Linked DNA regions of Ovis aries. The protein of the gene in region 3 purifies or fractionates together with the protein of the main gene of each other region. This does not show direct contact. Links are inferred from orthologs where the notes say so. Each region holds a gene or a part of one and is shown on either strand. Other genes may lie near its edges.

What was found.
Region 1: the proteins of RPAP2 (region 3) and POLR2B purify together in Homo sapiens (affinity purification with mass spectrometry; 3 studies listed by BioGRID and IntAct, with this or other methods). This does not show direct contact. The link is inferred for Ovis aries from reciprocal best matches to the Homo sapiens genes RPAP2 and POLR2B.
Region 2: the proteins of RPAP2 (region 3) and RUVBL2 purify together in Homo sapiens (affinity purification with mass spectrometry; 3 studies listed by BioGRID and IntAct, with this or other methods). This does not show direct contact. The link is inferred for Ovis aries from reciprocal best matches to the Homo sapiens genes RPAP2 and RUVBL2.
Region 4: the proteins of RPAP2 (region 3) and POLR3E purify together in Homo sapiens (affinity purification with mass spectrometry; 3 studies listed by BioGRID, with this or other methods). This does not show direct contact. The link is inferred for Ovis aries from reciprocal best matches to the Homo sapiens genes RPAP2 and POLR3E.
Region 5: the proteins of RPAP2 (region 3) and RPRD1A purify together in Homo sapiens (affinity purification with mass spectrometry; 3 studies listed by BioGRID and IntAct, with this or other methods). This does not show direct contact. The link is inferred for Ovis aries from reciprocal best matches to the Homo sapiens genes RPAP2 and RPRD1A.
Region 6: the proteins of RPAP2 (region 3) and UXT purify together in Homo sapiens (affinity purification with mass spectrometry; 4 studies listed by BioGRID and IntAct, counting the BioPlex papers as one, with this or other methods). This does not show direct contact. The link is inferred for Ovis aries from reciprocal best matches to the Homo sapiens genes RPAP2 and UXT.
Region 7: the proteins of RPAP2 (region 3) and PDRG1 purify together in Homo sapiens (affinity purification with mass spectrometry; 3 studies listed by BioGRID and IntAct, with this or other methods). This does not show direct contact. The link is inferred for Ovis aries from reciprocal best matches to the Homo sapiens genes RPAP2 and PDRG1.

What each region holds. Positions count from the first base shown.
Region 1 is NC_056059.1:73,103,724-73,107,694, reverse strand, and holds part of POLR2B (DNA-directed RNA polymerase II subunit RPB2), read right to left. Parts: intron 2,983-3,971; coding exon 2,832-2,982; intron 1-2,831. UniProt on the Homo sapiens protein: Catalytic core component of RNA polymerase II (Pol II), a DNA-dependent RNA polymerase which synthesizes mRNA precursors and many functional non-coding RNAs using the four ribonucleoside triphosphates as substrates.
Region 2 is NC_056067.1:55,305,361-55,309,331, reverse strand, and holds part of RUVBL2 (ruvB-like 2), read right to left. Parts: intron 3,850-3,971; coding exon 3,708-3,849; intron 1,924-3,707; coding exon 1,794-1,923; intron 1,648-1,793; coding exon 1,581-1,647; intron 1-1,580. UniProt on the Homo sapiens protein: Possesses single-stranded DNA-stimulated ATPase and ATP-dependent DNA helicase (5' to 3') activity; hexamerization is thought to be critical for ATP hydrolysis and adjacent subunits in the ring-like structure contribute to the ATPase activity.
Region 3 is NC_056054.1:69,550,202-69,554,682, forward strand, and holds the start of RPAP2 (putative RNA polymerase II subunit B1 CTD phosphatase RPAP2), read left to right. Parts: upstream 1-1,519; 5' UTR 1,520-1,532; coding exon 1,533-1,605; intron 1,606-2,323; coding exon 2,324-2,369; intron 2,370-4,481. Other genes in the region: GLMN (glomulin), read right to left, coding at 1-35, 448-486.
Region 4 is NC_056077.1:20,535,821-20,539,791, reverse strand, and holds part of POLR3E (DNA-directed RNA polymerase III subunit RPC5), read right to left. Parts: intron 3,771-3,971; coding exon 3,685-3,770; intron 3,418-3,684; coding exon 3,373-3,417; intron 3,280-3,372; coding exon 3,188-3,279; intron 2,341-3,187; coding exon 2,220-2,340; intron 1-2,219. UniProt on the Homo sapiens protein: DNA-dependent RNA polymerase catalyzes the transcription of DNA into RNA using the four ribonucleoside triphosphates as substrates.
Region 5 is NC_056076.1:21,481,250-21,485,220, reverse strand, and holds part of RPRD1A (regulation of nuclear pre-mRNA domain-containing protein 1A), read right to left. Parts: intron 1,823-3,971; coding exon 1,673-1,822; 3' UTR 1-1,672. UniProt on the Homo sapiens protein: Interacts with phosphorylated C-terminal heptapeptide repeat domain (CTD) of the largest RNA polymerase II subunit POLR2A, and participates in dephosphorylation of the CTD by RPAP2.
Region 6 is NC_056080.1:57,168,346-57,173,111, reverse strand, and holds the start of UXT (protein UXT), read right to left. Parts: upstream 2,999-4,766; 5' UTR 2,932-2,998; intron 2,746-2,931; 5' UTR 2,737-2,745; coding exon 2,639-2,736; intron 1,650-2,638; coding exon 1,568-1,649; intron 1,435-1,567; coding exon 1,367-1,434; intron 1,101-1,366; coding exon 993-1,100; intron 333-992; exon of another isoform or gene 1-332. UniProt on the Homo sapiens protein: Involved in gene transcription regulation. Acts in concert with the corepressor URI1 to regulate androgen receptor AR-mediated transcription. Together with URI1, associates with chromatin to the NKX3-1 promoter region.
Region 7 is NC_056066.1:61,136,877-61,141,483, forward strand, and holds the start of PDRG1 (p53 and DNA damage-regulated protein 1), read right to left. Parts: upstream 3,002-4,607; 5' UTR 2,906-3,001; coding exon 2,819-2,905; intron 1,315-2,818; coding exon 1,239-1,314; intron 180-1,238; coding exon 105-179; intron 1-104. UniProt on the Homo sapiens protein: May play a role in chaperone-mediated protein folding.

The DNA.
Region 1 (3,971 bases), on a different chromosome or scaffold from region 3:
AGTGGCATTTCAAGTCTCAGTATTTTCCCCTATTTCTTCTTACTGCCCAGACCTCTAGTCTTGAAAAAAATACTGGGAACATAGGAAGCGACAGCATGGAAACAGTGATTTAAATTTTATCGAAGAGGGTCTATAAAATTCTGTATTTCAACACAGCTGAATTTTCTTTTTACCCTGATCCTGGCTCATAGCTTCAAAACTGCTGTGGTCTGTGTTTGTTGTAGGAATGTCCATCTCTGTGTCTGATACCTTAACTCTCCACCTTCACTACCATCAGATCTCCACCTGACTTGTCCTCTCTGTGCCCTAGAGAAAAGACAGTCCCTGAATTAAAACTCTACTTGAGTCTTGGGAAGAAGAGTTTCTGCTCAGAACTGGAGACAGGGTGGAATTTAGGACTTGGACCTCTAGGCTCTCTTAGTCCCCTTCTCTCTTCTCTCCCCAACAGGCATTTCAATTCTCTGCCTTGGGTCTGTGAACTCTGCTGCTTAACACTGTCCTCTTCTGCCCCAACCTAATCCAGGCACCACCCATCCCGAGGTCACTGAAAGAGATGCCTTTCTTCAGAAAACCTTTGGGATTAGAATTTCCCCAGGAAGATGAAGGATGGAACGTTCATTGCTGGGTTTCATCTCTCCTTCTGACCCAAAACTTCCCACAAAAATGTCTCAAGAAACCTTCCCAAAACTTAGCATTCTGCCCCATTCACTAACTGCCAATTCCCATGGGCAGATAACTGGGAATCCTTGAGGGGGCATTTCTGTGTAAGAGATGTATGGAATCAGTATGATAGCCACCTTCTTTCAATACTGTGTGCAAAGAGGAATAAAAAAGAAACAACAACAGAAAATCCTAATTACTATTCTACATAAAGAAATGAGAATTTCCAACCATGGCTGACTATAGCTTATTTCACAGTTAAAAAAAAAAAAAGAGAGAAAGAAAAATTTTCAATTAAATATCTGCTACCCAATAAAACAAGATCCAAGAGAACTTTCCAGAGTTAAATGGATACGGAATTTCTCTCTAAATCAAACCTCAGAAAAGGAAAAGATGGAACTACGCAGATCACTAAAGGAAAATTGTGAATACCCAAGTTTCCCAAGCTGGAGTAGGCAAAGAGCAAAAAGAACTACTGTTGATAATGAAACAAAAGGAATCCAGCCATCCAACTACTTATTTCCACTATCACCTTAGTTTAGGACATTATTATCTGAAACTTAAGCTATTTCAAAATTTGTATCTGACTCCAGTCTCTTACCATTCCAAGTAAACACCATTTCCAAAGCAACCTTTTTAAATAACACTTTAATACATTCTTTGACAGTCTTTCCACAATTTCCCATGACAGCCAATGACATCCAAGCATGTGACAACCTAGTTCCATCTTATCTTCCACTATCAAAAAGAGATCAAGTCAAAAACAATACACTGACTACGGTGGTCCCTCCATTCCAACCACAAGCCAAATTCATGAAGTATCTCTTGCTGAAATGATTAAATATCTTTTCTCTACTAAGACAAATGCCCTTTACAGTCAGCTTAAGTCCCTCCCATCTTTTTCACTAAGCTCTGATACCAAAGCTTACGAGATCTCTTCCTTCCATAGTATTTATTTTGGAACTCTGAATATGCTATATTGTTGTCTCTCGTTTTGAAAAGACCATATAGAAAAAAATGCCATACATTAAAAAAAAACAAAGACATTTTATACCCATTTTTCCAACACAGTGCCTGAAGAGTCAATTATTTTTGTTCTCAAGAGCAAAGTCTATGCAGTAGCTCCACCTAAAATGAGAATAATACACCAGCACTTATGAGATAAGCTACGGAAAAGAGGGACTGATCTGGCAGGAAATAATAATCTTTCCCTCTGTCTACTTCTACTTCTTTTCTACCTCATTTTGGTTTTTAGTTTTCCCTGTCCCTCAAGACCGATCAAGCTGCCTCTCTACTCAAAAACTAGGAACATGGAATTCCCTGGTGGCTCAGTGGCTAGGATTCTGGGCTTTTGCTGCCATGGCCTAGGTTTGATCCCTGGTGGGGGAAATTGAGATTCCCCCAAACCATGCAGCAATAAATAGTACTTAAAAAAAAAAAACTGGGGTGGGAAGAAAGTTCATGAGGGAGGGAAATATGTATACCTATGGCTGATTTATGTTGCTGTATGGCAGAAACCAACAACATTGTAAAGCGATTATCCTCCAATTAAAAATAAATAAATTAAGGAAAAAAAACTAGGGACAGTCATTGTTTTCGACTACATACACACTTCTTTACAATCACTCAAAACTAGATTCTAAAATGATAGCCCTGCTATGATTTTAACAATGCTGAAAACATGCACATGTTTAAAAAAAAAAAAGACTACAAACTAATTTAGAAAAATTAAAAGAGCTGATATATTTGGGTGATTTCCCCTTACCTCTTATATTGATATAACAATGTATTTCATGCAACAAATAATCAAGGCAGAGGTTCTTCACCTACTTTTTCTTTCTATTACTTATACTTGGAAAGACAAAAGGAGGATTTTCTGAAGTAATATGACTATTTCTGGCTTGCTTCTCTCAGTAGCTCATCATATCTCTTGAGATTCTTCTTCCTGACTATTAAATACCTACTATCTGAATAGGAATTAACAGTTCTGCATTACTCGCAAAAATGCATCTCTCCACTAGTAAGACTAAATCAGGAGCTGATAGAAACTGTTGAAAGTACACTACAGAAAGTACACCTTTCTTTTTTAACCTTTAAGCCAGGTGAGAAAAGGACTGAAATTTCAAATCAATACCCTTATTTATGTTACTTTATTAAAATAACCATCTTACCGGTTCTTCAACTTCTCCACTAGCATGCTGAGCTTCAGCTTGTAGGTCTATAGGTGGAGCATCTTCCACAATTCTTTGAACAGACATCTGAATAAACTCATCAAAAGAATCCAGCTGTTGTCTCACCAAACCTTTCTCATCAAAATAGGAACTGGGAAAATATGAGTTTACAATCAGTTACAACTCACTAATGTTTTCTAGCATATTTCCCCATTTTCACTATCATTAAATTCAACAAATATTAATCATAAAATAGAAATCACTCTGTACCCATCACTATATAAAATACTATCATGTATCTAAAAAGGCGATGAGACTAGGAACACTTTCTTTGTCGAACTTATTGTTAAGTCTGTGGAAATGAGACTTATACCTGTGGGTAGAATTACTAAAACACAACGTAAGAACTATAAGGAAGCCCTAACTTATAAATATCCCTTATAAACTTTATCCAACCTCTCTGAAACATTTCTTGAAACTAAAGAAAATGTATAGTCAAAGAGAAAAACATTAACAGGGATGGGCCATGAGACTATTAAGAGAAATAAACAGGAGAAAATCAGATAGCACATGATTTCACTCATACATGGAATCTTAAAAACAAAGGGAAAAAACCCAAACCCAAAACAACAGACAAACAAAACAAAAAAAACTCACAGACATAGAGAACAGAAAAGAGGTTACCAGAGAGAGAAGGTGGTTAGCTTTATAGGTGAAATGGGTGATGGGGGTAAAATGTAAGGTGATACAAATGATGGATGATAACTAGACTGTGGCGTTGATCCCTCTGTGGTATATTCAGATGTTGAACTATAATGCTGTACACCTGAAACTTATATAACAAAAAAAAAGCATGGAAAAAAAAAGAAAAATAAGAACTTTAATTTTAATAAGAAAAAAGATGATGATGTCAATGACTAAAATACAGCATGTTAAGAATTTCAATTTTAGGTTAAAGATTATCCTATTCTGTATATGTTAAAGGTAATATGAGGCAAAGTCATTTAAGTGAAAATACTCAGCAAATGACTGATCATTAAAAATGGAGCAAGGTTGAGAGATCAGAGCTAGTGGTATAGACACAAAAATCAAACAGTGAAAGCCCTAATGAAGGACAGAGGCTCAAAAAGAAACAACTTA
Region 2 (3,971 bases), on a different chromosome or scaffold from region 3:
TTTTTGGCTGTGCTGGGTCTTGGCCGGGGCATGCGGATCTTAATTCCCTGGCCAGGGATCGAACCCAGGCCCCCTGCATTGGAAGCATAGAGTCCCAGCCACTGGACCACCAGGAAGTCCCCGGTTGTTCATTTTGATGAGGGTATATCCATGGATTTCTTCTGTAACCTCTTTAAACTCTAATTTAAAGAACTATCTGGGAAATAGCTTTCCCTATACTTAGACTCTTCCACATTGTTTTTTTTTCTACCGTGTTTTTAAAATTCAAAATTTAATTGCCAATAGATAAGACTAATTTAGGAGGCTGTTACAAGTGCTAAAAGTGCAGTTGACCGCAGTTATTCACTTTAAGTCTATTTCCACTGAAAATGAGAAGCTAATGAAAAAAGAGGAGGGTGTTCCTGCAAGACACAGAAACAGAAGGTAGGACTGTGCATCAGGTCAATGGATTTGAAGCAATTTTAGACTTCCTTTTATTTTGCATTTTATTAACACCTGTAACTTAATATTTAACAGAGAACTACAAACACTGCTGAACCTCGAAGACATACACAAAAAGTCATATATTCTTAGATTCCATCAGAGGCAAGTCCATTAAGACAGGAAGTAGATTTGTGGTTGCCAGGGACTGCAGGTGGCGTGGGAGGGGAGGAGGAGCAACTCTGAAAGGGTTGATGGTTAGTTTATGTTGTGTGATTTTATGTCAGTGAAAAACAGACCTACAGAAAAACTGAAAGAGAGAGAAAGAGATGAAGGGGAAACCAGACTATGACAGAAGACTTAAAAGACATATAAGTTTTTAAAATGGGCAGTCTTGGAATACACAGTTGGGTGATAAAAGCTAATGAAACTCCAACGGGTGAGGGCGGCTATTTCTATGGGGTACTGTGGAAAGAGGCAGAGGAAGGGGCAGGGTTGGAGGTGCTGGCTAAGTTTTAGGGTTTTTTTAAATCTTTTTTTAAAGTTTTTTTTTTTTGGATGTGGACCATTTCTTAAAGTCCTTATTGAATTTGTTATAATATTGCTTCTGCTTTGCCTTGGTTTTATGGCTGAGAGGCGCGTAGGATCTTAGCTCCCTGACCAGGAATTGAATCTGTGGTGGAATTGCGGAGTCCTAACCACTGGACCACCAGGAAGTCCTGTTAATTCTTACTGTTAGTACTGTTAGTACAGTTGAGGTACTAAGATTTATAAATCCAACGGGTCTGTAAGCCTAACTATTAGGAATTAACTGTGAGAAACTTCAAGACCTCCTCCGTCATTCCATTGCTTGGTTTGTTTTTTGGGGCAAGTATAGTTGATTTACAATATTGCGTTAATTTCTGCTGTACAGCAAAGTGATCCAGTTAGACATAAATATGTTCTTTTCCATATCCTTTTCCATTGTTCCACCACTTAGCTCACTGTGCCCCTCACAAACGGACAAACCGCCATCAATTCAACCGACCCTCTCTTGCCGGCATATGGATGACTCTAAGCTGCATCTCGAACTTTCCATGGGATTCTGACCTCAGTGCAGACCCAGCACACCCTACCCACCCCCAGCCCTTGGGGTAGCCTAGACTTGGGAGCACACTCACCGTCCCTGTGGCCGGCCGATCAATCTGGATCTCCACCACCTCCCCTTCGATGATCTCGGTCTCCTCCCTGGCGAGAGAACAGATCTAAGGAGATAGCTCGCGGCCTGGGCCCTCAGGAACTGCTCACCCCTGTGGGCCCCTGGGCACAGGACGAGCTGGCATCCCTCAGGTGGCGTCCCAAGGCTGCTGGGAGCTACCATTACTCCTGCTTACTTGATGCGCACGCCGATGGAGCGCCGGAAGGCCTGGGTCAGTGCCTCTGTCTTGCTCATCTCCAAGGAGAAGATCTCACTGCCTGCGATGGCTGTGAATGGGGTGTCGGGCCCCAAGGCCTGCGCCATGCCTGAGGAAGAGGGGAGGCAGTTTGGGTAGGTGGTCCAGGCACGAGGTCCTCACATCTCCCTAACCAGCTCTTCTTCTTCAGACAGGAAAAAGGGGCTCGGTGCTGTGGGGCAGACAGGGAGACTTGCAGAAAGTGAGTGATGGCGGGCCATGTTGGGAGGCCCTGGGTTGGAACCCCACACTGCCCAGACCAAAAACTTTATGACTCTACAGTCATGCTGGACCTGCCTCCCAACCTCTGAGAGCTGTTTAGCCTCAGGGCTTGGGGGGGATGAGCAGGGGTGGAGGCAAGGGGCTGAAAGAGGTTAAAAGAGACTGTGCAGGTTCGAATCCCGGCTTCAATGCTTAGCACCAAGTTATCTTAAGAAGCCTAAGCTGCTCCCCAAGCCAGCCTGCCCCTCTGGGTAATGGGAACCATAACATAACAAGCGCTGGCAGGGAACGACATTGCTGCATAGGAGCAATGATAAGGGCGGGCAGGCATGCCCTGGTGCTCAGCCGGGACCCCGATATGTGACCTGGGACCAGCACAGGGAAGGGCCTCCTCTATGGTCTGGGGCCTGGGGTCAGCTGGCAGACAGTGGGCAGTTCCTGCCATCACTCCAAGCTCCGGGCCTCTCTGCCAGCTCCCCTTCCTGGGGGCTCTGCCCAGCTCTGAGCCAAGTCTCCCAGACAGGAAGTCACTGAACCCTCCTGACCAGTGCGAGGTGGCAACTCTTCCTGGTCCCCTTTCCAGAGGCATGCCACACTCTGCACCTGGGTATCATGTTCCGTACTGTCTGTTCAGGAGACTCCCAGACTTCCTGCGAGTCTCAGTTCCAGTACTGACTCACCTGGGATGTCCCTCCTGACAACTGCCACCCCATTCTCTCCCCATCACCCTTCATCGGAGGAGAAGCCTCCTCTGTTCTCTACATGGACGGGACTGTGTCCACTAACACCTGCCCCAGGCTGGAAGCCCCTTAAAGTCAGGACTTTGGTCTTAATCATCTTGGTGTCCCCAAATATGAGTGTTACTTTTTCTTAACTGAGGACCTAGCTGTTGCCTTGAGTCTCACTGCCTGGCCCCACAGTCCAGGCACAAAGGTGAGAGTGAGTGGGAAGAGACTCCAGGAAACCTTCAACAAGGAAAAGATGTCAGAGAGCAGTTTTGAAGGACAGATAAGAGCTCAACAAGGATAAGGGACAGTTGTGAGTAAAAAGCTTTTAAATTACTAATGAATTGCAAAAGAGACTGCTGATTGTCTATACAATGCTCATCTTTCACATCTTCCTTTGTTCCAGAACGCCCATTTCAGTAAGGTAACAGTAGTCCCAATTAAAATATAAAAAAAAGTTTTAATGCCTCTCTCTCTCTTGTGCAGTAGAGTGTGGTCATTAACTTCTAGTCAATAAAATATAAGCAAGAGAATGTGGGTGCCCTGAGACAGCTGCTTAAAAGGAGCTCCCTCTAGGAGGTACACCCTCATTACAATTCCTTTCTCCTTCTTCTTATATGGAGTATGGGTGGGATGGCTGGAGCATAGGCCACCTTTTTGTAACCCAAGGTGTCCCTGACATGGAAGCAAGTGATCTCGAGGCAAGAAGGTAGGAGCCCTCATAGAACTGCTTAACAAGCCTGAATTGGCCTATGTTTAGACTCTTCTATGTGACAGAAGAAAGCCTTAGTGTTTAAGCCACTTCCATTCTGTGCTGTCTGTTAGACATGGCTGAACCTGACCCTGACTTACATGGGAGGATCATCCGGTGAGGCCAAAAGAGCTACTGCCTGGAGAAGCACCTTACCCATGGCAATGGCTGTCTTCCCAGTGCCTGGCTGGCCAGCAATGAGAACCGCCCGGCCAGCAATCTTCCCTTCTCGGATCATCTCCAGCACCACACCGGCTGCCCTCCGGGCCGCCAGCTGGCCCACCATGCCCTGGGAAGCCTGGGGGCAGGAGGTGACAGAACATATAAGGAAGGTGACTTTCTACTGAGCTGCTGCTGCATTTCTACCACCTCCAGGCCAAAACTGTTGGCTAGGCCTTCAGAAAAAAAGGCTTTTCTCCA
Region 3 (4,481 bases):
TCTTCCTCTTTAAAGTCTTGCTCTTCTAGGATTTGCTGGCAGAAACAAACAAAAAAACAAGTATGTTTAGGCAAATGGAAATTCAATAACTATTTGATTTTTCTCTAAAAAAAGAAATCTGTTTAAATTCTAGATAAGCTGCACATAATCGTATGTATGAAAATTAGGATTAGGTAAAAAAATACTTCAATAAATCGCCTTGAAATCCACTGTGCCAAAGAAATCTATGATAAGGATCCGTATTAAAAGTGTAAAGATTATTTCCCTAAGTGACATATCCAATCTGTCTTCCTGCCTTCATGCTATTTATTCATAGGTCAAAAAAAGCAAGGATTAAAGAAGATTAACAATTTGAGTGACTGCAGGTAACTAAAAATAATCTGTGCTCTTCCCATATTCTGAAAGGTCATTAAATGTCATTAAAAATAAAAACAAAAAATTACTTACACATCTCTTTATGATGGACTGTAGTTCCTCCACAGCCATTCCTTATTTTTTCCAGTTTTGATGCTGAAATTTATCATATAAATACCCTGTTAACTATCAATAGTAAGTTACTTCATCATGTTACTTCAGTATAAGTTACTTCATTCTTATGAATTATTAATAAATACAATAAAGAAAATGGAAAGTTTTTAAAGCTGAAACTTTTTTTTACTGAAACGTTAGCCTAAGAAATTAAAACAAAAAACAGAAGAACAAAAACCTCTTTTTCGTCCTTTAAGTTTTTTTGGAGCATAATTTTGAAAGATAAATTGAAGGGGAAAGAAAGTCTTTAGTTCATTCCCAAGAGGTAGCACAAATTTACCCTAAGATCTTTTAAAAGACAGTCTTCACCCTCCTCCTCCACCCCTGCGCCCCAAAGGTGGGCCTGAAATCAATTCTAATTATCAGGGAGCCTTTTTCTTTTCTTTTTTTTTTTTAATGTCCCATTTGACAGAAATTGGAATGTAACACTGGAGGGGATGAAAGTTGGGATGCCTTCCACCCCAAGAGTAACAAGCATTACAGACCCGGGCATCTGTCTGTAACAGATGTACTGCGCCCCGCCCCATATAATCAATTGTGATAGTGAAATCACTGTATCGCGCGAAGACAGGCAACAGGCCGCCCTCAGGGCAACACCGCCCGGTTCGCAGGCCCAGTAGTAGAGACGGGGTTCCGCCGGATCCTCACAGCAGCGAATAAAACCCCAGCGCGCGTGCAGGCTGCATCCAAGGGAAGCCATTTCTCCCGGTTCCTGCCTGCGTCGGCCATTGGGCCCCAGACCTCACGGAGGCCTCGACCCCGAAGCCGGGTCCTCCACGGCTCACCTCCCACCGCGGGCCCCGGCCGCCAGGGACCCCGCGTGTATCCACCTACCGCCAGGCCTCTCGCCCGTCTCGCGGCTCTCCTCCGCCGCCGCCACCGCCGCCGCGCTGCTTTCCGGGCCCCTCCCCTCCCAGCCGGCCCCGCCCCGCGCTGCGCGACGGGAGGCGGAGTCTTGGGGGGGAAAGACGCCAAGGTCGGTTCCGACACTGACGACGCATGCCATGGCCGACTGGGTCGGACCGTGCTCTGCGGGCCGCAAAGCCCGGCGTCCCCGCGCCTCCCGAGATGTCCCAGGTAGGAGGAAGGGCCTCTTCCCAAGTTTGGAACTGAGAATTCGGCCCCGACAGAATTCCAGACGGAGGCATGCGGGCGCTCCCGAAAGGCTGCCCCAGGGAAGGAGATCCTCGGGGGCAAGAAGGCCAAGAGCTTTCTACCGCCGAACTCTCGCCTTCTGGGAAAGACCTTCGTCCGAATCCCCAACTCTTGACGCTAGTCTTCCAAGATTTCCCCCCAAATGGGCTGGCTGTGCTCCAGGCTCTAAGGGAAAGGGCAGCAGAGGTCCTGGAGAGCCTACAATCGGGGTCGTCTGAGTGGGCAGGTGACCAGGAGGGCGTTGGAAGGCCGAGTGCTGCTGGCCTTCACCCTAGCACTGGCCGTCCTTGCAGGTGGACTGCCCCTGTGGTGCCCTGGATCTCTTGAGGACCGGAGAGCTAACATTGAGGGGGACGGAGAGAGGTTGCCCCTAGATCGCAGGCTTTCGGGAGTGCTTAATTATGCGACTAGGATAATGAGAAAATTCAGTCTGAAAGAGGTACATTTTAAACAACAAAAATAATTAGCTTGCAAAACCAAATTGGATTCCCTTCTCATTTCATTTGATTTTCACACAGAGTTGGAAGTGAAATGTGTGGAGAAGAAAAGATGGTCTACAGTTTACTGGGGCAAGAATCTGTCCTGTAACCTGGTGTTTGTGTACACTTGACCTACTGTTTTTTGTTTCTTTTAATGGTAGGTACTAAGCAGACAAGTGCCTTGAACCAAGAAGATACTTCTCAAAGGTATGAGAACTACATAGAGAGCTGCTTTCACTTATCTGTTAATCTCATACTAATTGAACCATTTGTAAAAAGTGTAATAGGTGCTACCTCAGGTAAAATTATTTAGAGAGAAGGGGAAGATTTGAGAAGTACTGTAAACCCAAATAGACTGTTATTTCCCCTACTCTTCCATACCTTAAGAAAACCAAGTTGACACTTTTAGATTGCTGGTGAATGTATGACTATCTGTAGAAAAATGTCCTGAATTAGCTAGGAACCTTTTTTTCATCTCTTCAGATACTTTCCTTTTTTGTTCTATATACCAGACTCCAAGAAACTTTTTGTTGTTTTTCTTTGTTTACATCATGTCCATATTTTCAGCAAAAAGTTGTTCTATACTATTCAATGGGCATCTTCTAAAAAGGCAACGTTTATCTCCTAGCACAAAAGGTTCTTAGAATAGATGTCATCCTTGAGGATGATGTAACTGCATATATCTATAAGTTATGATTTTATGAAGTATTGGTTTTAATTTACTCATTCAAGAATTATTTACTGAATGTTAAATATGCTAGATCTGTGTTAGTCCCTGTGGATAAGATTTTTTTTTTATTTTAATTGAACTCTAGTTGATTTATATTAGTTTCAGATGTACAATATAGAGATTAAATATTTTTATAGATTATATTCTAAGTTATTACAAAATAATAACTAAATTTCCCTGTGTTATACAATACTTCCTTATTGCTTATTTATTGTATACATAGTTTGTATCTCTTAATCCCATACCCCACTCTTGCCCCTCCCCCTGCTGTTTCCCCACTGGTAACCACTGGTTTGTCCTCTATATAAGTGATGTCAGAATAATTGTCTTTCTCTGAGTTACTTCACAAAGCATAATATCCTCTAGGGACATCCATGTTGTCGCAGATTGCAGAATTTCATTCTTTTTTATGGCTGAGTAGTATTCCATGGCATGTGTAAACCACATCATCTTTATCCATTTGTCTGTTGATGGACACTTATATTGCTTCTGTATCTTGGCAATTATAAATTATGCTCCTATGAACATTGAGATGCATGTGTCTTTTCAAACTAGTGTTGTAATTTTCTTCACATATATACCCAGGAGTGAAATTGCTGGATCATATGGTAGTTTTTAGTGTTTTAGGGAACCTCTATACTGTTTTCCGTAGTGGGTGCACCAATTTACATCCCCACAAACAGGAGGATTCCCTTTTCTCCACATCCTCCTCAACATTTGTTATTTGTAGACTTAAATGATAGCCTTTTTGACAGATGTGAGGTGATATCTCATTTTGTAGCTTTGATTTGCATTTCTCTGCTGATTCGCGATGTTGAGCATTTTCTCATGTGCCTGTTGGCCATCTCTACATCCTTGGGAAAGTGTCCTGTTTCTTCTGCCCAGTTTTTAATTGGATTGTTTTTTTTTTGATATTGAGTTGTGTGAACTGTTTATATATTTTGGATATTAACCTCTAATTATTCATATCATTTGCAAATATTTTCTCCCCATCAGTAGATTGTCTTTTCATTTTGTTGATGGTTTCCTTTTGTTTGCAAAAGTTTTTAAGTATAATTAGGTCCTTCCTGTTTGTTTATATTTGCTCTTTCCCTTCATCTTGGAAGACATTTTAAAAAATTGCTAAGATTTATGTCAAAGGCTGTTCTGCCTGTGTTCTCTTTTGGGAGTTTTTCAGTTTCAGAGGCCCTGAGGATATGATTTTGAACAGTATAGACACAGTTCCTGTCTAGTAGAACAGAGAAATATCAATTAAATTATCACAAATAAATACATAATTGCAAATGAAAAGGCTGTGATGGAACTAAAAACAAAAGAGGTTGGCAGGAAGGGTGGTATGTGTTCAGGGAAAAGCTTCTCTGAGAAAGTAATAATTAGACTGACTGGAAGGCTAGGTAGGCACTTACCAGACAGAGTAGTGAGGAGAGACTTCCAGCTAGAAGCACCAATATATGTGACAAGAAAAAAAGAAAGAGATATCCAAGGTCATGTGAAGCATTCTGAGCAAAGGAAGAAAGGAGTGTAGGAATAAGTTAGAGGCAGGGTTGCATTCAAACAGTACCAGTAGGCTAGGGTGAGAAATTCAGATT
Region 4 (3,971 bases), on a different chromosome or scaffold from region 3:
AAAGCAGCAGCCTCCCCTACAGACCCGAGTTCCTCTCCTACCCCGTTCCCAACGTCTCCCTCACAGGGGCCCAGCCCCAAGGTCCCTGCGTGGTCAGAGGGTCAGGGGCTCAGAGACAGACCAGCTGAGCCCAGGACTCTGGAGTCTAGCGAGTCCCACACATAAAGCAGGTGAAACACTAAGAGAGGCCAGCAATGAAGCAGCACCCAAGGCCTTACCCCTGGCCCAAATGGAAGGAGTAGGCAGTGTGAGCTGAGGCAGGAGGGGTCAGGGGTTGGGATTGGACAGACCCCAAGCATGGGTGAGGTTGAAGCCCTTGGGGAGAATGGGACCAGCACTCAAGGCTCAGGGACCTTCAAGGGCAAATGACAGGCGCCAAAGCTTAAAAGCATTTCCACAGCGTAACCCTGACCCCACACCCAGATGCAGACCCTGCTGCCCAGGGACACACACTCCTTTGTTCTCCCTGCCCCCTCAAGCCCACCTGGCACCCATCTACTACTTTCCTTCAAGGCTGAGCTGGGCCCACTTTCCCATGAAAGCCCTACAGGACAGGGCCCTGGCACACACACACACATACATGGTCCCAATAACAGGTGAAGTGCCGTCCCAGAGGCCCTCATAATTAGACGCTTGTGTCACACAGACAGCAGCTGCAAGGCCCCACAAAGCACACCGGGCACCGTCCGTTTTCCAGGGCAAGGCTGTCACCATGCGGTTCTAACATGAATATACTTTGCAGTCTTCTTGGCCAACCAACTGGGAAATGATGGACTTTTCGCAATGAACAACTTTTAAAAAAATCTATAACAATTTACACTTTGACAGATAGCTCACTTTGTATCACATCCCTAAACCATGAGTATTCAATGTGTTCTACCTTACACAATTTAGAAATAACATAATTCAAGTGTGCATTAAATGTAGTCAGGTTTACCAAGGGTGGGCCACGTACCAGGCATTATACCCGGTACCAGGGGAAAAGGGAGTCAAGACAGTCCCTGCCGCCTAGAAACTGACAGTCTAGGGAGGAGGCAGAGTCTGGAGAAGCAATCACGGAAGAGAAACTACTAAAAGGCAGCAAGCCACAAATCCAGGACCTACGCAGCCCGACAGGACACATAAGAAATTCCCACTGAGGCCCATCTTGACGAGCTGTGCAAAACCAAAACCAAAACAAGAAAAAAATCTGAACGCAGCCAGAGAGAAACGAAGAAACATAGACAGCGGAACATACAGTGGATTAACAATAAAATCAATAGAGATCAGAATACAATGAAATTCTATCAGAGTGTGGAAGGAAAATCACCAAATTAAAATTCTATACTCAATAAAAAATATCCCTAACATTGTAAATCAGCCCTACTTGAATAAAATTAAAAACCAAAATAAGCTTTAAGAACAAAGGTGAAATAGACATTTCCAGACAAAGAGGAAACAAATTTATGACCTGCAGATGCTCAGTTTCACAGAAGGAAATCATCATGTTTAGGAACTCAGAGATACAGAAAGAAATGATGAGCAAAATAAATAAATTAATTTAAAAAAAAGAATATTAACTGGATAACATCTTACAAGGTTTAAAATAGAGAATTAAAATATACAAATACAATGACAAATGAGTTGAGAGGAAGACCAAAACCTAAAGGTTGTTGAATCATCATGGATGAGGGTAAAAAGTAGCTGCTACTGCTGCTAAGTCGCTTTAGTCGTGCCCGACTCTGTGCGACCCCACAGACAGCAGCCCACCAGGCTCCTCTGTCCCTGGGATTCTCCAGGCAAGAACACTGGAGTGGGTTGCCATTTCCTTCTCCAATGCATGAAAGTGAAAAGTTAAAGTGAAGTCGCTCAGTCGTGCCCGACTCTTAGCGACCCCATGGACTGCAGCCTTCCAGGCTCCTCCATCCATGGGATTTTCCAGGCAAGAGTACTGGAGTGGGGTGCCACTGCCTTCTCCGAAAAAGTAGCAACTAATATTAAACTGAGAAATCTGTAGGGTAATCTCTGAAAGAGTCGAGAAAGGTAACTTCCCAGTTACTGGTGAAAACAGTAACAAGAAAAGAAGGGAAAAATGAATATAACATGCCAACAGGACAAACAGAAAGCACTAAGGTAGATTTAAGCCCAAAACTTAAACTGAGTTTTTGTCAGTCGGTCAATTAGTACTTACATTCAATTTAACTGGGTTAATCGCTCCCAACTAAGGGACTAGAACTTACCTCTTCACCACCCAGTTTCCTTGGACCAACATCGCCACCTTCTGGATGCCACGCAGAACAGCCACAGAGTCGACAGAGGGGCCCAGGAGGCTCATCAAGTTGGCAAAAGGCATGACCTTCACTGAGGAGGACACAGGAGACATCAGACAAGCCAAGAGGGCCCTGGGCTCATGCAGCAAGTCCAGCAGGACAGTAGTAACGTAACGGCTGCAGTCACTGTTTCTCACTCGGGGCAGGCCCCCGCCTCTCACTGAGCCCTGGAGGAGTGCCTCATGAGAAGACCCAGCCCAAGAAGCTTCAAAATTCACCCATGATCACTTGGCTAGTAAGTGGCAGAGCCAGGACTTGAACCCAGGCTGTTTGGCTCCAAAATTCATGCACTTGGTCACTGTGCTTTGCTCACCCCACCTCCCCACCCCCAACTGAGCCCCCAGCCCTGGTGAGCAGTGGCAGGGCCAGGGGAGGCCCATGTGTTCTGGAGCAAGGCCAGCAGCCTCTGGACCCCAGGGAGCTCCCCTCTCCACTCCAGCCCCGCAGCCTCGGGCCTGGGACTCAGCTCTGAGGTTCGAGGCTCATGTCCACTCTGACGGTTCTGGCCTCAGAGTCGTCACTGTGGGGAGCCTGGGGAGGGACCACAAAGTGGTGCAAGGGACACACTTCACTGTGAAAAGGAACACCGCTCGTGCTCACACGCGAGGCTCTGCACAATCCTTTAACAAGCCTCACCTCTGAATCTTCACCTCAGCCCCGTAGCTACCTTAGTTCCTTTTCATAAACAAACAACACATCCCAGGAAGGCCAGTGGCCTGCCCAGGCTCACAGGGACCTACAGCCCCTCTAACATGGCCTGTCACCAGCTTCAGTGCACTTTCCAAAGACCTTGGGCCTCGCTCCTTAAGTCTGTCCCAACTCCACTTCCCCAGGAGGTGGCAAGGCTGGGGACCCCCAGGGCAGGGCTGCCCACTCACCGTTTTTCATCAGGATCTTGATCTGATCAGCCAGGGGCAGGGTGCGCAGTTGGGCCATGGACAGGACATTGCTGGGGGCCACGGGTTTGTCTCTATTGAAAACCAACACCAAGGGTTAGGAGGCCAGGGGCAGGTTAGCGGGTGGGAAGGGGCAGTGCGGAAAGGCGTTCGGCCCCTCTACTCACTTCTCCTCCTCCTGGCTGGGGGGCATCAGCATCATGAGGTACTCACTGTCGGGGGAGAGAATGGGTCAGCAGCTTGCAGGGCTCTATCCTTGCCCCACCCCGGCCACCAACCAGTTGTATCCAAGCCGCTCCCCGCCCCAAAGCCCAGCACCCACTTCTGGCCCTCTCCAGAGGATGATGGACCCCTCCACATCTCCCCACCGTGTTACAGAAGGGGCCACAGTCTCAAGGCAGGACCCATGAGAGAGGGATGCTCCCAGGGCCAGTGTCAGGCTCAGCAGCCCTCCACGGCCCCAGCCTGGCTCATCTCACCTGGGGGACTTGACCAGCTCCGTGTTCTCAACCCCGCTGAAGCCCTGGCACAGCAGGTACTGGCGTTCGTGCTCAGAGCGACTGTCCTGTGGGGGAGGAACAGGAAGTCAGAGGAACCTCAGCCAACATTCCAGGCCTCCCCCTGCAATCTGGTTCTCAGCCTTGTATCACCTTCTGCTCCAGTCACCCACTGTCCAGCTCCAAGGCTGGCCACAGGATCACCCCAACTTCCTGAGCAGAGCACTCAAGGCCTCTGCATGTGGCCTCAACCACATCCCTTCCTGCCT
Region 5 (3,971 bases), on a different chromosome or scaffold from region 3:
CAGGATCTACTACTCGTAATCTGTCAACCACATTACACGTTCAGTACATTCATGGTTAAGTGGATTAGGTTCCTGGGTGAGCTCTCTGTGGGAGTGTTCACAGGGAACCTAATTACTACTGTTCCTGTGGAAAATGTGCCCCGAGTCCCAAAAGTTGACTAAAAACCTTTGGGATATAAGCTATGTATGGGTGGGAACTACTACTAAGTGTGTCTGTTTTGGAGAGGCCAAACCGTTCAGAGCACTGTTCTGAAAACTACTGGCTGCTAAAATGAAATACTGGCTTTCTCCTTCACATATAGTAAATTCACTTTAACTATAATTTCTAATACTGAGAAAGAGTGAAGCCATTCAGACTAGTGAGACATAACTGACCTGTGGGATTTAAAAAGCTGTTTTATTGACTAAGATGAATCTTCTTACAACAAAAAGAAAAATGTCTTAATATGTAATCAACGGAAAAAAATGTTTATCCTAAATAATCACTGAGTACAAAATCCACAGCTTAACAGTGTGATTTAAAGAGAAAGCAGGAGAGCATGCAATTGCTCTAACACAGGGTTAGAAATAAAAGGTAAAAGTACATTTGTTTTTGGTAATTCTAAATATACAAATATAATATTTACCATATCTACCCTGTAGTGTAGGACTGCTTAATTCCCAAATATACGTAATTCAAAAACCTTAAGGAAACATTAAAAATGTTCCAGGCTACTTTACTGAACATTAATGAATATTGAGTTCATGAGATATTAGAGCTAAAAATACTACTGTTTTTTAAAGTTAAATGGCTAAGAGAATATTAAGGTACCATTATTTTACTCTTCTTTTAATCCCACAGATGGCTTTTTATGTTAAAGGGATCAATTATGTTAAAAGGAGCTTGATTTGACAAACAGAGATTCCAGAATCAGAGTTGTTCTCTTGGTACAATGTCAAATTTTTTTTAAACATTTCCAAAAGCATTTTCATAGCTATCTACCTAAATAACTCTAAACAGCTTTTAATCAAGGGGTCCCTATATAACACTCCTTTTATCCTACACTGTGGCTGTTGGACAGAACCCCTGTTGTGGAAAGGTTCTCCAGGTTCTGATCTGACCCTCAAAACAACATCCATGTTTAGTATTAAATGACCGACCTCTGGGGAATAAGGAATCTAAGGTGTTGAGAGGCACAGAACTGATGTTTTGGTTGAGGAGAAGGGTGAAAATCAAGTTGGAACACCTAGTCCCTTCTACAATCAAGTCCTAACTATACCATAATAAAGTCTCAACCAACCTGATTAGTTCTTACCCTTTAGGAATCACATACTATACACTGATTAGATACTGAAGAAAATAAAGAAAAACATTTGAAAATACATGAAGAAATAGAAACATGGAAATTTCTCACAAGGCCCTGGATCAAAAAAATTTACAAAAAGATCTTTTGAAAATAATCACTACTTGTGAGCTTAATACACATAGAGATTCACTTTGTTTAAACTAAGTCATGTTAACTTACCAATAAAATAGTAAACAAACCAACATTTTAAACAATTTTATAAATTACCTGTCATTTCTTTTTGTTAATGTCACTCTCAACAATATACAAAAATAACACTACAGCACTATCCACCTAACCTGTCTCCATCTCTTGCAAAGTCCTGGGCCCTGGAAAGAGACTGGTCATCAATCTTCACTGTAGATATCCCCCGCAAAGGGCAGGTGCATGTGGCTGCCAGTGACATTGGGCAATCGAGATAAGTCCGGCAGGCTCTGGATCCGGGACCTGAGTTCTTTGCGCACCAGGGAAACTCTGGCTAACTTGCGCTTGTATTCCTGTAACATCAAACCACTCTCATTAGCACTGTGGGAGTTCAGAGAGGACCTATCTAGCTTATCCAGCTAATGCTCTGCAGAAAATCTGATAAAGCACTCAGTTTATGCTGAAAAACAAGATTATGTGAGCCTTAGGATCAAGAGAGGGATTTGGGAAATACTCAAGTAGAGAAACTCATTCTTAGGAAAAACTACAATCTTAAATTGCTGCTTCACACCTGTAAAAAAAAGATTAACATATTAATGTATCAATATTTAACTGAAGCATATAGGATTCTCAGGTATACCGGGGCAAGGATAATAAAAAGTATATATTTACTTCCACAAGCTTAAAATAAAATTTAGCAGTGTTTTTGACTATAAATGCTGGCAAAAAACCACAGGAGTATTATCAGTATCTTTGAGTTTATCTCGAATAGAAACCAGATGCTTCATTATTATATCATTTTTCACATTTATCACTACTTTGAAATGATCAGACCAACTGCTAGTATTACTTATCAGTAAAGAACCATGTATTAGTGTACAAGTTTTATTACTTCAATAACTATTTCAATATAACTTTTTCCTATTGTAATGTTATGCATTTTATTTTCTACATTTAAAATATTTAACTTGAGAAGGGGTCCAAGGCTTCATAGGCTCACCGAAGGATCTCAATGGCACAAAAGGAAAAAAACTTAGGAAACCCTGCAATCAGCAGACTAAGGTGTCGGACTAGAAACCAATAAAGATCATGTCTGGCTTAGGGGGAACAGGCCACTCTCTGCAGCAGAAATATCTTTTATTAATAACGGAAGTTTTCAGACTTCAACCAGAAGAGAGGAACCTTCTTTACTCCATCACCTAGTAGAGGCAGGGTGTGAAGAGGGGAATCAAAAAGTTGACTATTATTTCCTCTGTAAAGACTAGAAACTTTTCCACCCTCTGACCAAGGGTTAAGCTCCCCGAGACAGAGCAGGTGAGTAAGAAGTTTTCATCTGGGGCAGAAGGCCTACCCACAAGGAGCCCCTTTTTGTTTCTCAACTCTGACTGAATCTCCTAGGAAATTTCTGGAGAAACTCAGAATTCTCAGAAGAACACCAGCCTCACTGACCATCAATTAAATGAGAACCTCTGGAAGCAGGTTCAGAGCTCTTGAATTTTGTAAAAGCTCCCCCAAAGGATGCTAATATACGAGCCACTTCTCTATAGTTTTTGTCTAAAAATGAAATCAGGGAAGCTTCTCTGTATTACTGAGTTCCCTCTTTTAAAGAACAACCATTAATATGCCTGGGGAAAGGAGTCAGTCAGAATTACTATATCCCGACCACTCTAAGGCAATGTGGGAAAGAGGGTTTCTGAAGCACACTGGGGAAGTGAGCACCCAGGCAGACAAAGCCAACGAGGTTGAAAGCTGGGCACGCTGTAGGACAGCTTTGGACACGTGAGAAAGGTGTCGATTCTTGCCCTGTCTGCCTGTCCTTGCACTTTTAATCCATCATGAAGGTCGAGGTTGAGTAAGGGAGTTTAACAGGGATCTAAAACCTCAAGGTTACGACTTTCCTGTTCCCTTTTTCCCTTTGCCGGTGACACTCTGGCACAGCAGGTAGGTTTCAGTACAGCAGCTCCAAGTGGCACACAGCAGAGCAGCTAGGTGTTCATTCTAGATACACACTTTTCAGTCCATACACATCTCCACCCTTAGCACACTTCCTCAGAATACTCTGGTAGGGGCGGGGGCAAACACATACCTCCATCTGTCCCGTCTGTGTGCATGCTCAGGGGCTTCAGCTGTCTCTGACTCTGCAACCCCATGGCACGCTCCTGTCCATGGGATTTCCCAGCAAGAATACTGGAGTGGGTTGCCATGGCCTCCTCCAGATCTTCCTCACCCAGGGATAGAACCCATGGCTCCTACGTCTCCTGCATAGCAGGCAGATTCTTTACCACTGAGCTACCAGGGAAGCCCCCATTTGTCCCTGTTTGTACTAAATCATTCTTTAATAAATAACACCTCAAGTACTCCGAGGTTAGCACGATAGATTCAGATGCTGTTCAAACATGCACAGAAGTAATTTCTCTGCTCCTCTTGAGGCTAGATGTCCTGAGAAGTCTCATGTGCTTTTAGTGATCATTACTGCCCATCCTAATTTCAAGTTTCTAGCAA
Region 6 (4,766 bases), on a different chromosome or scaffold from region 3:
CTCCACAATCACAATTCCCCTTCCCTGCATAGAACCTTATACTCAGTCAGAGTTCATCCTTTATCCCCACATTACCTCCATCACCACCAACAGAGATCTACTAATCCCTCAATCCCCACTTAAATCTATTTCCAGCATATGCTTTGAAATTCATTCAACAAACACAGGATGACTCCTATATGCTTTGTGCTATTCTAGTGACTTGAGACGTAGACAAAATCTCTCCCTTTGCAAAGCTTATATCCTAATGGGAGCAGGCAATGAACATTATAAAAAAGTAAATCACACAGTAAACATTAGGAGGTCATAAGTGCTACAGAAAAAAAGAAAAAGTAGAACAAGGGAGGGGAATCAGGAGCGCAAGGGTTGCAATTTTCAAGTTAGGTTATAGGAAGTGACATTTAAGCAAGACTTCAAGTGAATAAGGAAAAAGGAAGCCATGCATATATCGGGGGGAAAGTGCTGTAGGCAGACAGAGAACAGTTACTGCAGTTGTGCTGAGGTGGGATCACTTTGTGGGCATTTAAAGAAGCCTGTGAAGGTTAATGTGATGAGAGCACAGTGAATGAGCAGGAAAATTAGCAGAAGGTGAAGTCAGAGGTAACTTGTTTTACTGTTACTGATTTACAGGCTGAGACCTCCAGGATCTGGTCAAAACTGTGCTGATGTGTAATAGTTATAGCCCTTGTAGAATGTAAGCTTTCAAGGAATTCTTCTGTCTTGTTCATACTGCCTCCCCAACACCAAGCACAGAGCCTGGCATACAGCAAATGCCCAATAAGTTTTTGTGTGAGTGAACAATACAGAGACCATTTATTGAGTACTTATTATGTGCTACACCTGGGGCTAAGCTTTGCATCCCCACTGTTCTCTCCCCTAGAGAGAGGGGAAAGTGGTTCCTAGGTACCATCCCAGGTAGCCAGGGTGAAAGGGGGAAGAAGGATGTTACAAATGGTGTTGTTTTAGACAGTATCCTCATGCAATGGACTTACTCTGTGAGGAGATTGCTCTTACGATCAATGAACTTGAGAGCTTCTGCCAGTGTCAACTCCAGGAAAAAACCATATCCAAGGGCCACATAGATCCGTGAAGTGTCTGGGCTAAGGAAACAGTGGTGATCAGAAGTGGAGAAGTCCTTGTCACTGTTTAGCATACTACACAGTTTAATATTTATTTTACTCCCCATCCTCCACCTTCCCCAAACTGAAGGTCAGGGTGGGCAGATAATTTGTCCTATTTTATTTACTGTCACATCTTCAGCACCGAGCAGTGTCTGGTTCATAGCAAATACTAACAAAAGTATTTGCTGAATGAAGGAAAAGGGAAGCTGAACCCTGTGGGCTCAGAGGGGCAGGTAGATACTCACACCACTGTGTCAACGAAGAAGTTACAGCCCAAATCCACTTGCATATATAACTCCGAGTGATTAGCTTCCTGTGGGGCCAGGGAAAAAGAGGTAGGGATCAGTGGTCAACTTTTAGGTCAGGTGACAGGTTTTGGTCTTGGGTATCTCCTCTCTTCCCCCTCCTTTGCCCACAAAAAGACTACCTAACCCTGGCATCTTTACCTGGAGTCGCTCAATGACATTTCTCAGTTGAAGGTATTTGGCCAGCTGCTCATATACCTTGTCGCGATGGTCCAGGACCTTTCTGATGGGACATGACAGGACAAGAGTAAAATGGTGACCAAGAGGAAACCCTGTCCCTCTTGGAATATCTCACACCATGAACCCCTGAGACTCTCCTGTCACCAGAGTCTAAACAGGAATTTTAGTGCAGAAGTCAAGGTTTGGCCTCTGGGTCAGATTGCTTCGGTTTGAATCCAGGCTTTCCATTTTACTAGCTGTGTGACTTTGGCAAGTGAGTAATCTCTTTGGAACTCAATTTCCCCATTTTAAAAATAGGAATGAGGAGTATTACTTCATAGAGTCATTAGGAGGATTAAATGAGTATTTACTATAAGGCATTTAGAATAGTGCCCTCCAAACAAATTTCTCTATATGAGTTAGCTCTTATTTACAAGTATTATTACACTCTACTCCCAATGCCTCCCTCCAATCAGAATATGACATTCTCACCCTAGAAAAAAATCCTCCATCTCTTTTAGGAGCTCATAATCCTAGACCTGAACACTCTCCTTCCTGCTCTGATTAATAATGATAGTAATAATAATTTTTTATACTCATTGAGCCTCTAGTATCCAAGTTAAACCCTTTACAAGGACTGAATACACTGAAAACACAAACCCACTGCCGTGGGGAAGGCTGCATTAACTTCCCCATTTCACAGATGAGGAAACTGAGGCACAGCAAGTGGAGGCGAAGTATGTATTCACACGGAAAGCAAAATGGTCAAGCCAGGATTCGAACCTGAAAACTCCAGCTTCAGAACTCTAATTCTTAACCCTTTAAGGTCATCGGAAGCCGCGCATGCGCGTACACAGGCACCATTAAATCACCAAGTCTCCCTCCTCACCCGACGCTGCACCCCGGATATCGCCCCTCCTTCCTCCTCGAATGGCGCACGGGGCCGGGCTCTGAACGCCTCACCCACCAATCAGAAGGCCAGGCCCTGACTTCGAACGCCCCGCTCACCACGTGGACCGCTCCAATAGCTCCGCCCCCCGTTCTGTCACTTACTGCAAGTCCCGCTGCAGCACGTCAGAGATGAAAGCCTCGTAGCGCAGCACTTTCTCCGCCGTGGCCTCCACCGCCCGCCGTTTAGGGGGCGTCGCCATGATGGGCTCCTGAGGAATGGGGAGGGAGAAAGACCACGTTGAAGACCACTGGTCTCAGTTTGGTCTCAAGCACAGTGCAACTGCACCTTTTCAGTGTTGGGAGTTGAGTCGTCCGGCTTATGCCGAGGGTTCAGCCTTCCGCCCCTCCCAGCTCTGGGACCCCATCACACAGGGACACCCAAGCGCTGCCGTTACCTGAAAGCCGCCGGCAAAAAGAAGTGTTAGTAAGAACCGTGGCTTCCGGGTGGCGCGGGTAAATGACGTACGGCGGGGGCGCTGGCCAACCAAATAACCAGGGTGGGTGAGGCAGTCCTGAACGGAAAAAAACGCCGGAGAGAAGGAAAGGGCGGGGCTTTAAGAAATCCGCTGATTAAGAAAGGCTGAAGAGCGTGGGAACCTGGACTGCGCAACAAGCCTATGGGGATAGTGCACTGTTGCTGGGGGTGGGGTTTAATGGGATTTGGCGGGTGCCGGAGGTGGCGGTACACACAGAGCGAGTACAGCTTTTGGTGTTTAAAAGTCAGAGCTTCAGAAGCAGCCGGGCAAGAAAAGATTATGAATGTGGTCTGTAAAAAGGAAAGTATATCCTTGCATCGCCCTGGATTTTGAGTTTTCACAAGGGAAGCTTGGGTTTGACTTTCAATAATGGAAATAAATGTCAGCATTAAACATAAGTTTTGAAAAGGAGACAAATTTTCTGATATGCACCTTTGACGACTCCAGCTCTGTAGCCCGCAGTCCATGACTGGAGTTCAAGCAGAGGTTGATAACGCACTATGTCTAATCAGTTCAGTTCAGTTCAGTCACTCAGTTGTGTCCGACTCTGTGACCCCATGAACTGCAGTACGCCAGGTCTCCCTGTCCATCACCAACTCCCGGAGTTCACTCAAACTCATGTCCATCGAGTCGGTGATGCCATCCAGACATCTCATCCTCTGTCGTCCCCTTCTTCTCCTGCCTTCAATCCCTCCCAGCATCAGAGTCTTTTCCAATGAGTCAACTCTTCTCATGAGGTGGCCAAAGTATTGGAGTTTCAGCTTTAGCATCAGTCCTTTCAAAGAACACCCAGGGCTGATCTCCTTTAATGGACTAGTTGAATCTCCTTGCAGTCCAAGGGACTCTCAAGAGTCTTCTCCAACACCACAGTTCAAAAGCATCAATTCTTCTGCACTCAGCTTTCCTCACAGTCCAACTCTCACATCCATACATGACCGCTGGAAAAACCATAGCCTTGACTAGACGGACCTTTGTTGGCAGAGTAATGTCTCTGCTTTTGAATGTGCTATCTAGGTTGGTCATAACTTTCCCTCCAAGGAGTAAGCAAAGCATCTTTTAATTTCATGGCTGATCACGTCATTTAATTGGGGCGTCAAATAGAGGGTTGCTGAAGTCCTCTGCCCAAGATAGGTTATCTTGTCATTAGAAAGAGTTCCTATGTTTTTATTTAAATGTGTAAACTTTGTATTTATTTTTATGTGCTCAAATTACCGAATGGATTTATTTCCTATGTTAGATTTTCAAATAATAGCCTCTAACTCAGTAAGTCCAGGCCTGAAGAAGAACTCCAGTGCTGGATCCCCCAAATGATACTTCTGGCTGCAGGCCCTAGAGCACCCAGCGTATCAGGGAAGTTTTCCCAGATAATTTGTGGGTTTGCAGTCTAAAACCAAGCTTTGTTTCAAATGCTCAAAACCTGAGCAAGTCAAACTTTTCTTTACCCTTAGAACAAGACGATTGCAAGGAAAACTTTGTGAGTTTAAAAAATTATTTTTGGTAAATCATCTCATGTTAAATATAGTTGCAATTATATCTAGTTTGATCAAAAGAGACAGTAGGTAGGTAGACAAATATTATCAAGTTAATCTATACAATTTTCCTGTGAAGAAAAGGGTGTTACATTTATTATCTTTAACATGGAGAGCACAGAGTTCTGATGAGCTGGAGATGGTTTATTAGCTTACATTTCACAAAAAATTTTTTTATTATGGAGTCCATGTAAGATTTCTTTTTTAAAACTTTTTTTCTGTTTC
Region 7 (4,607 bases), on a different chromosome or scaffold from region 3:
GCCACCAGCCGCCTCTCATCAAGCTGCCAGAAGCCAGGGTGGGGCAGGGGAGGCTGTGGCATGGGGGCGGTGTGCTGTCCCTGACCCCTGCCCAGGAGGCTTACCTTTCTCAATCATTTCCTTTGTCTCAGGGTGAGGCATCCTGATAAACATGTTCCCAAAGCAAACCATCACGTCTTCTGAAATGGCAAACAGTCATTCCTTCAACAAATAGTTTGATGCCAGGCATTGCTTTAGATGTTGAAAACACAGCAAAACAGGACGAAATTCCTGCCTTCCTAGCTTGTTAGAGTGGAGGAGAGAGAATATACAACAACGTCAAGATAATAAAGATATGATTCATCAGACCCTGAAAGGTATCTTAGAGAAAACTAAAGCAGGGAAAGAGAGATGGGGAATGCCAAAAAGAGGAGCTTGTCATTTATACCAGGCAGTCTTGGAAGGTCTTACAGATTATGTGCCATGCTGGCAGAGACCTGACAAAAGTGAGGAGTGTGCAAGCCCTGCAGACACCCATCTAGGGAAAGAGCAAGCCAGGCAGAGGAACCAGGAACAGCAAGGATCAGTAACGTGCCGGTGTGTCAGGAACAGCAAGGAGAACGGTGAGGGTGCAGCTGATAAGCGAGCGTGAGAGCAGAGGAGACAAGGTGGGAGAGTTCAGCGAAATTACACGGAGCCCTGCAGGACTCTGGATTTTACTCTGGGGAGACAAGACACTGGAAGGGTTCAGGCTTTCCAGTGCACTTTAAGTGCTTGGTTCCTGAGGCCCTTCATCATGGCCTGGCCTCTGCCCATCTCTCTAGCATGATCACTTGCCCCTCCCCTATTGCTTCCTCCATCACCACCACTTAGCCTCATCTAAAGAGCCACCATCCCATTATCCAAGACCAACCCTGTGTTCACTTCCTTCTGCAGCTTTCTTACAATTTTCAGTTCTGTATTTATGCTGTTGACTCACCTGTAGAGCACAAGGGCAGGAACTGCACTGTTTTTATACCCCCAGCACTTTCCCAGTGTCATCAATTGATAAGCTAGCAGCTAACAACCTGCTGGTTGAGGTAAGAAACTGAAATCCTGAGCCACAGTCTAGGTCAGACCTGCAATGCCATCTCTCCCATCTCCACGGGCTGTGCCACACACCTGTGGCCTCCTGCCTGGTCTCTAACAGGAATAAGTCAAAGGCAGTAGAAGGTAAACTGAACAGGCCTCCTGGGCTGCAACAACGAAGCTAGGCTTACCAGTGAGGCTGAGATCCTTCTGCAGGGCCCTCAGGCCCTCCCGGTTCCGATTCCTTTTGGTATCCAGGTCCACAATCTGAAAAGCACAGGGGCAGGAGGGAACTCAGTTACCTCCTACCTGGGTCTGTACCCTCAACAGACCAGGGCTGTTAAAACCTGACGAAGACGACAAGGCATCATTCCTCGGTTAATTCTAATGTCCTGCCTAAAGCGGACAGAGGTGTGAAGGTACTCCCTCCCCCACTCAGCTTCCAGCTCCTTAAAGACGATGCTTCATCCAGGTGTCTTTCCCCCCAGAGGAGGAGCTGGGGAAATGTCTAGTGACTAAATGGGTAATTTTTTATTATCATCCACGGGAGCACTAGTTCTCAAGCTTCAAGGCATTTCAGAATCACCAGGGGAGTGGAAACCACTTCCTGAACAAGCTCCTCCAGCTGATTCTGACCGAGTATCCTGAGAAAAACAACAATATTACATCAGAAAGGCACTGAGACAGTGGTCACAGCAAAATGGCTACTAAGAAAGTGAGGAGGCAGTGCAGTACTACTGCCTGGCAGTGGAGGCTCTGGGGCAGAACACCCAGGTTTGAATCCTGCAGCTTGCTATGAGCGGTGTGACTTCACCTCTCTGAAAAACAGGGACAGGAAGAGGACCCACCACCTAGGTTATTAACCTAGGAACTAAGTCAGCACAGTACTTGATACACAGTAAGTACTCAATCAACTTTAACTGCTATTTGTCAGCCAGCACACCTTGATGCAGTGTTTACTAGGCTCTCCCTTAATACCCAACTGACCAAGTACCCAATCATTCTAACTGGAGATGAGGAGTCTGAATCATTCTTGATCCCTCCTACTCCCTCACCCCTATACCTCAGCATCATGGAGGCCATCTCCAAAGGGAGATGACCCATCACCACCACCTAGGCCCAAACCCATCCCCTACCTGGCCCCTCATTCACCCCTTCCCCTCTTATAGTCTGTGCTCTACAGAGCAGCCAGAGGGATCTTTCAAAGCCTCAATCCATTATATCATTCTCTCTGCCCACCACAAGCTGCCTTAAACTCCCTGTGCAGGTCTCCACGGCCCTCCGGTGGCCTGGGCCCCACACTTCTCCCACGTCCCGACTCCTGCGCGATTACTAGACCACTCAGACTTCTTTCCTGTTCCTCTTCTGGCCTGGACTGGAGCGGTGCAGCCCAGGTCAGTGTTGGGGCCCAGAAACTGCATTTTGAAAAAGCGGTTCAGGTAAACCAAAGGCCCCAAGAGGTAATGGGTCGGGATCCGGAAAGCTGGGCAAAGGGCAGAGGAAGGATGGCGAGAGAGGAAAGGCCTGGCACAGACGGGCTTAATATGTGCCAAATACAGGAGTCAAGCGCGGCGCTGTGCCACGCACTCGACATTTGGCCCACATGATCTCACAACCGCCCGGTCTGTCGTCACAGCCCTTGGCCCACAAGAGTAGGTCAATTCACAGCTAGCCCAAGCTGGAGCCGGATTCCGGACCCCGCGCGCTGCCCTAGGAGCTCGCAGGCCCAACTGCAAAACCCGGGCCCCAGCCCCGCGGACAGGCCTCCTACCTGCCGTTTGTCCGCCAGCACCTCCTCGGCGAGCTCCTCCACCTCCACCAGGTACCGCAGCACCCGCTCCGCCTCGGGCGACAACATGATGCCTACCAGTCACGACTCCACTACGCCGCTATCCTATCGCGCTCACCTCCGGCTCTGCCGCACTGCAGCTCCGTCCGCGCACGCGCCGTTCTCACAGGGCTTCCGGCACGCATGCGCAGTTGAAAGAAGAACGGAGGCGCGCAGGCTCCAAAGCTCGCACGAAAGCGGACGCGAGAGGCGGGGCCTAGCTTGGGGGCGGGGCTGGAGCGCCCCCTGCAGGTCCAAACCTCTTAACCTCGCCCTCCCTTAGGATAGTTCTTAGGCGCTGAGGATACGGAAGTGAACAAAACGAAGTCCCTGCCCCTCGCGCAACTTCATCTAGTGGGTAACATAAACAATTGATCACAAAACAAATAATTATATACTATGGGAGGCAGTGATAGGGCTTTGGAGAAATCAAGCCATTCTTCCCCTGCCTGAGGAGCACCAAGGAAGCAAGTGTAGCAGTTTCTGATTTATAAAATGAGAGTGAATAAAAATCCTTCTCATTGTGTTTCCGCAGGATTGGAAGGAGGCAGGAGTCTTAAAATTCAGTTTGACCTCTACTTTCATTGAGCCCCTGTGTTGGACCCAGTGTCAAGAATAGCTGACCTAGACCCTAGGAAGGGCGGTGAGTGATGAAGTGCCAGCTCAGAAGAGTTGGAAATGCTGGAAAGTGAATCATTGTGGGCTGTAGGAGCTGGGAAGATTTCCAAGAAGAAGTAGGCAGGTGGAAAGTGGCTGCCCTTCCGAATCAGAAGATTCCCTAGAGATCTTCACACCCAAACCCCTCACTGTACAGCTGGAAAAGCCAAGGTTCAGAGGGTGGTGAGGGTTTTAAAAAGTCAACAGCAGACCCAGTACTAGAGCTCTGACCTCTTGTCTCCCTGACTCCAGCTTGTATTGCTCTCCTTTTGGCCACTGTAACCAAGCCCTTTCACACCCCTTGCCTTCCTTGAATTTCACAACCATCTTTGTATGGGTGGGTTATTACACATCTCGCAGCTGCATGCTGAGGCTTGTTCCTTGTCCCACGGCAAGTCAGGAGCAAACATGGTCCAGGAGTGCTCAAGCTTCTAGACCACAGCTGTTTCTGGATCCTGAAAGAAGAAAGGCCCTCCACCAAGTTGTGGCCCCAAAAGTCCTCGAAGCACCCTGTCTTTGCCTGGCCTTTGGCTTCCTTGAACTGATGAGGCAGTTAGTTTTCCCTGCAGCCACCTGGCATGGGGAAAGAAGGAGATTCATTAAGGATTCCTCATTAAGGGTGAATTTGTCGCCAAACCCAGGATGTTTTGTGTAAATACCTTCTGGTTCAGAAACGCAGACACAGGCCTTGTGAAGGAAGGAGGAACATTTGCCAAAGGAGAAACAGGGCTCACCAGGCATCCTTGAGGCCTGGACCCTAGGATTATCTCCCCTCCACCTTGGGGCTTAAAGGGGCCTAGGCCAGGCTGAACCCTGACCCCTGCCAGATGGGCCTGGATGGGAAAGGGTTGAAGGAGACTCCCAAATTGGCAGCTTATTGGCTGTGACTGGCCCTCAGAGGGCACCCTTGGCCACTGGCATTGTAAGGGAGGGACATAAGCCTTTGAGACAGTCATACCTGGAAAGACTCCAATTTTAGAACCACTTATGTTTCAGAACCATCAATTTCACAAATATTTATTGACTGCCTTGGCCCTGTTATAAGAATTCACCATGAGCAAAACCAGATTTGGTC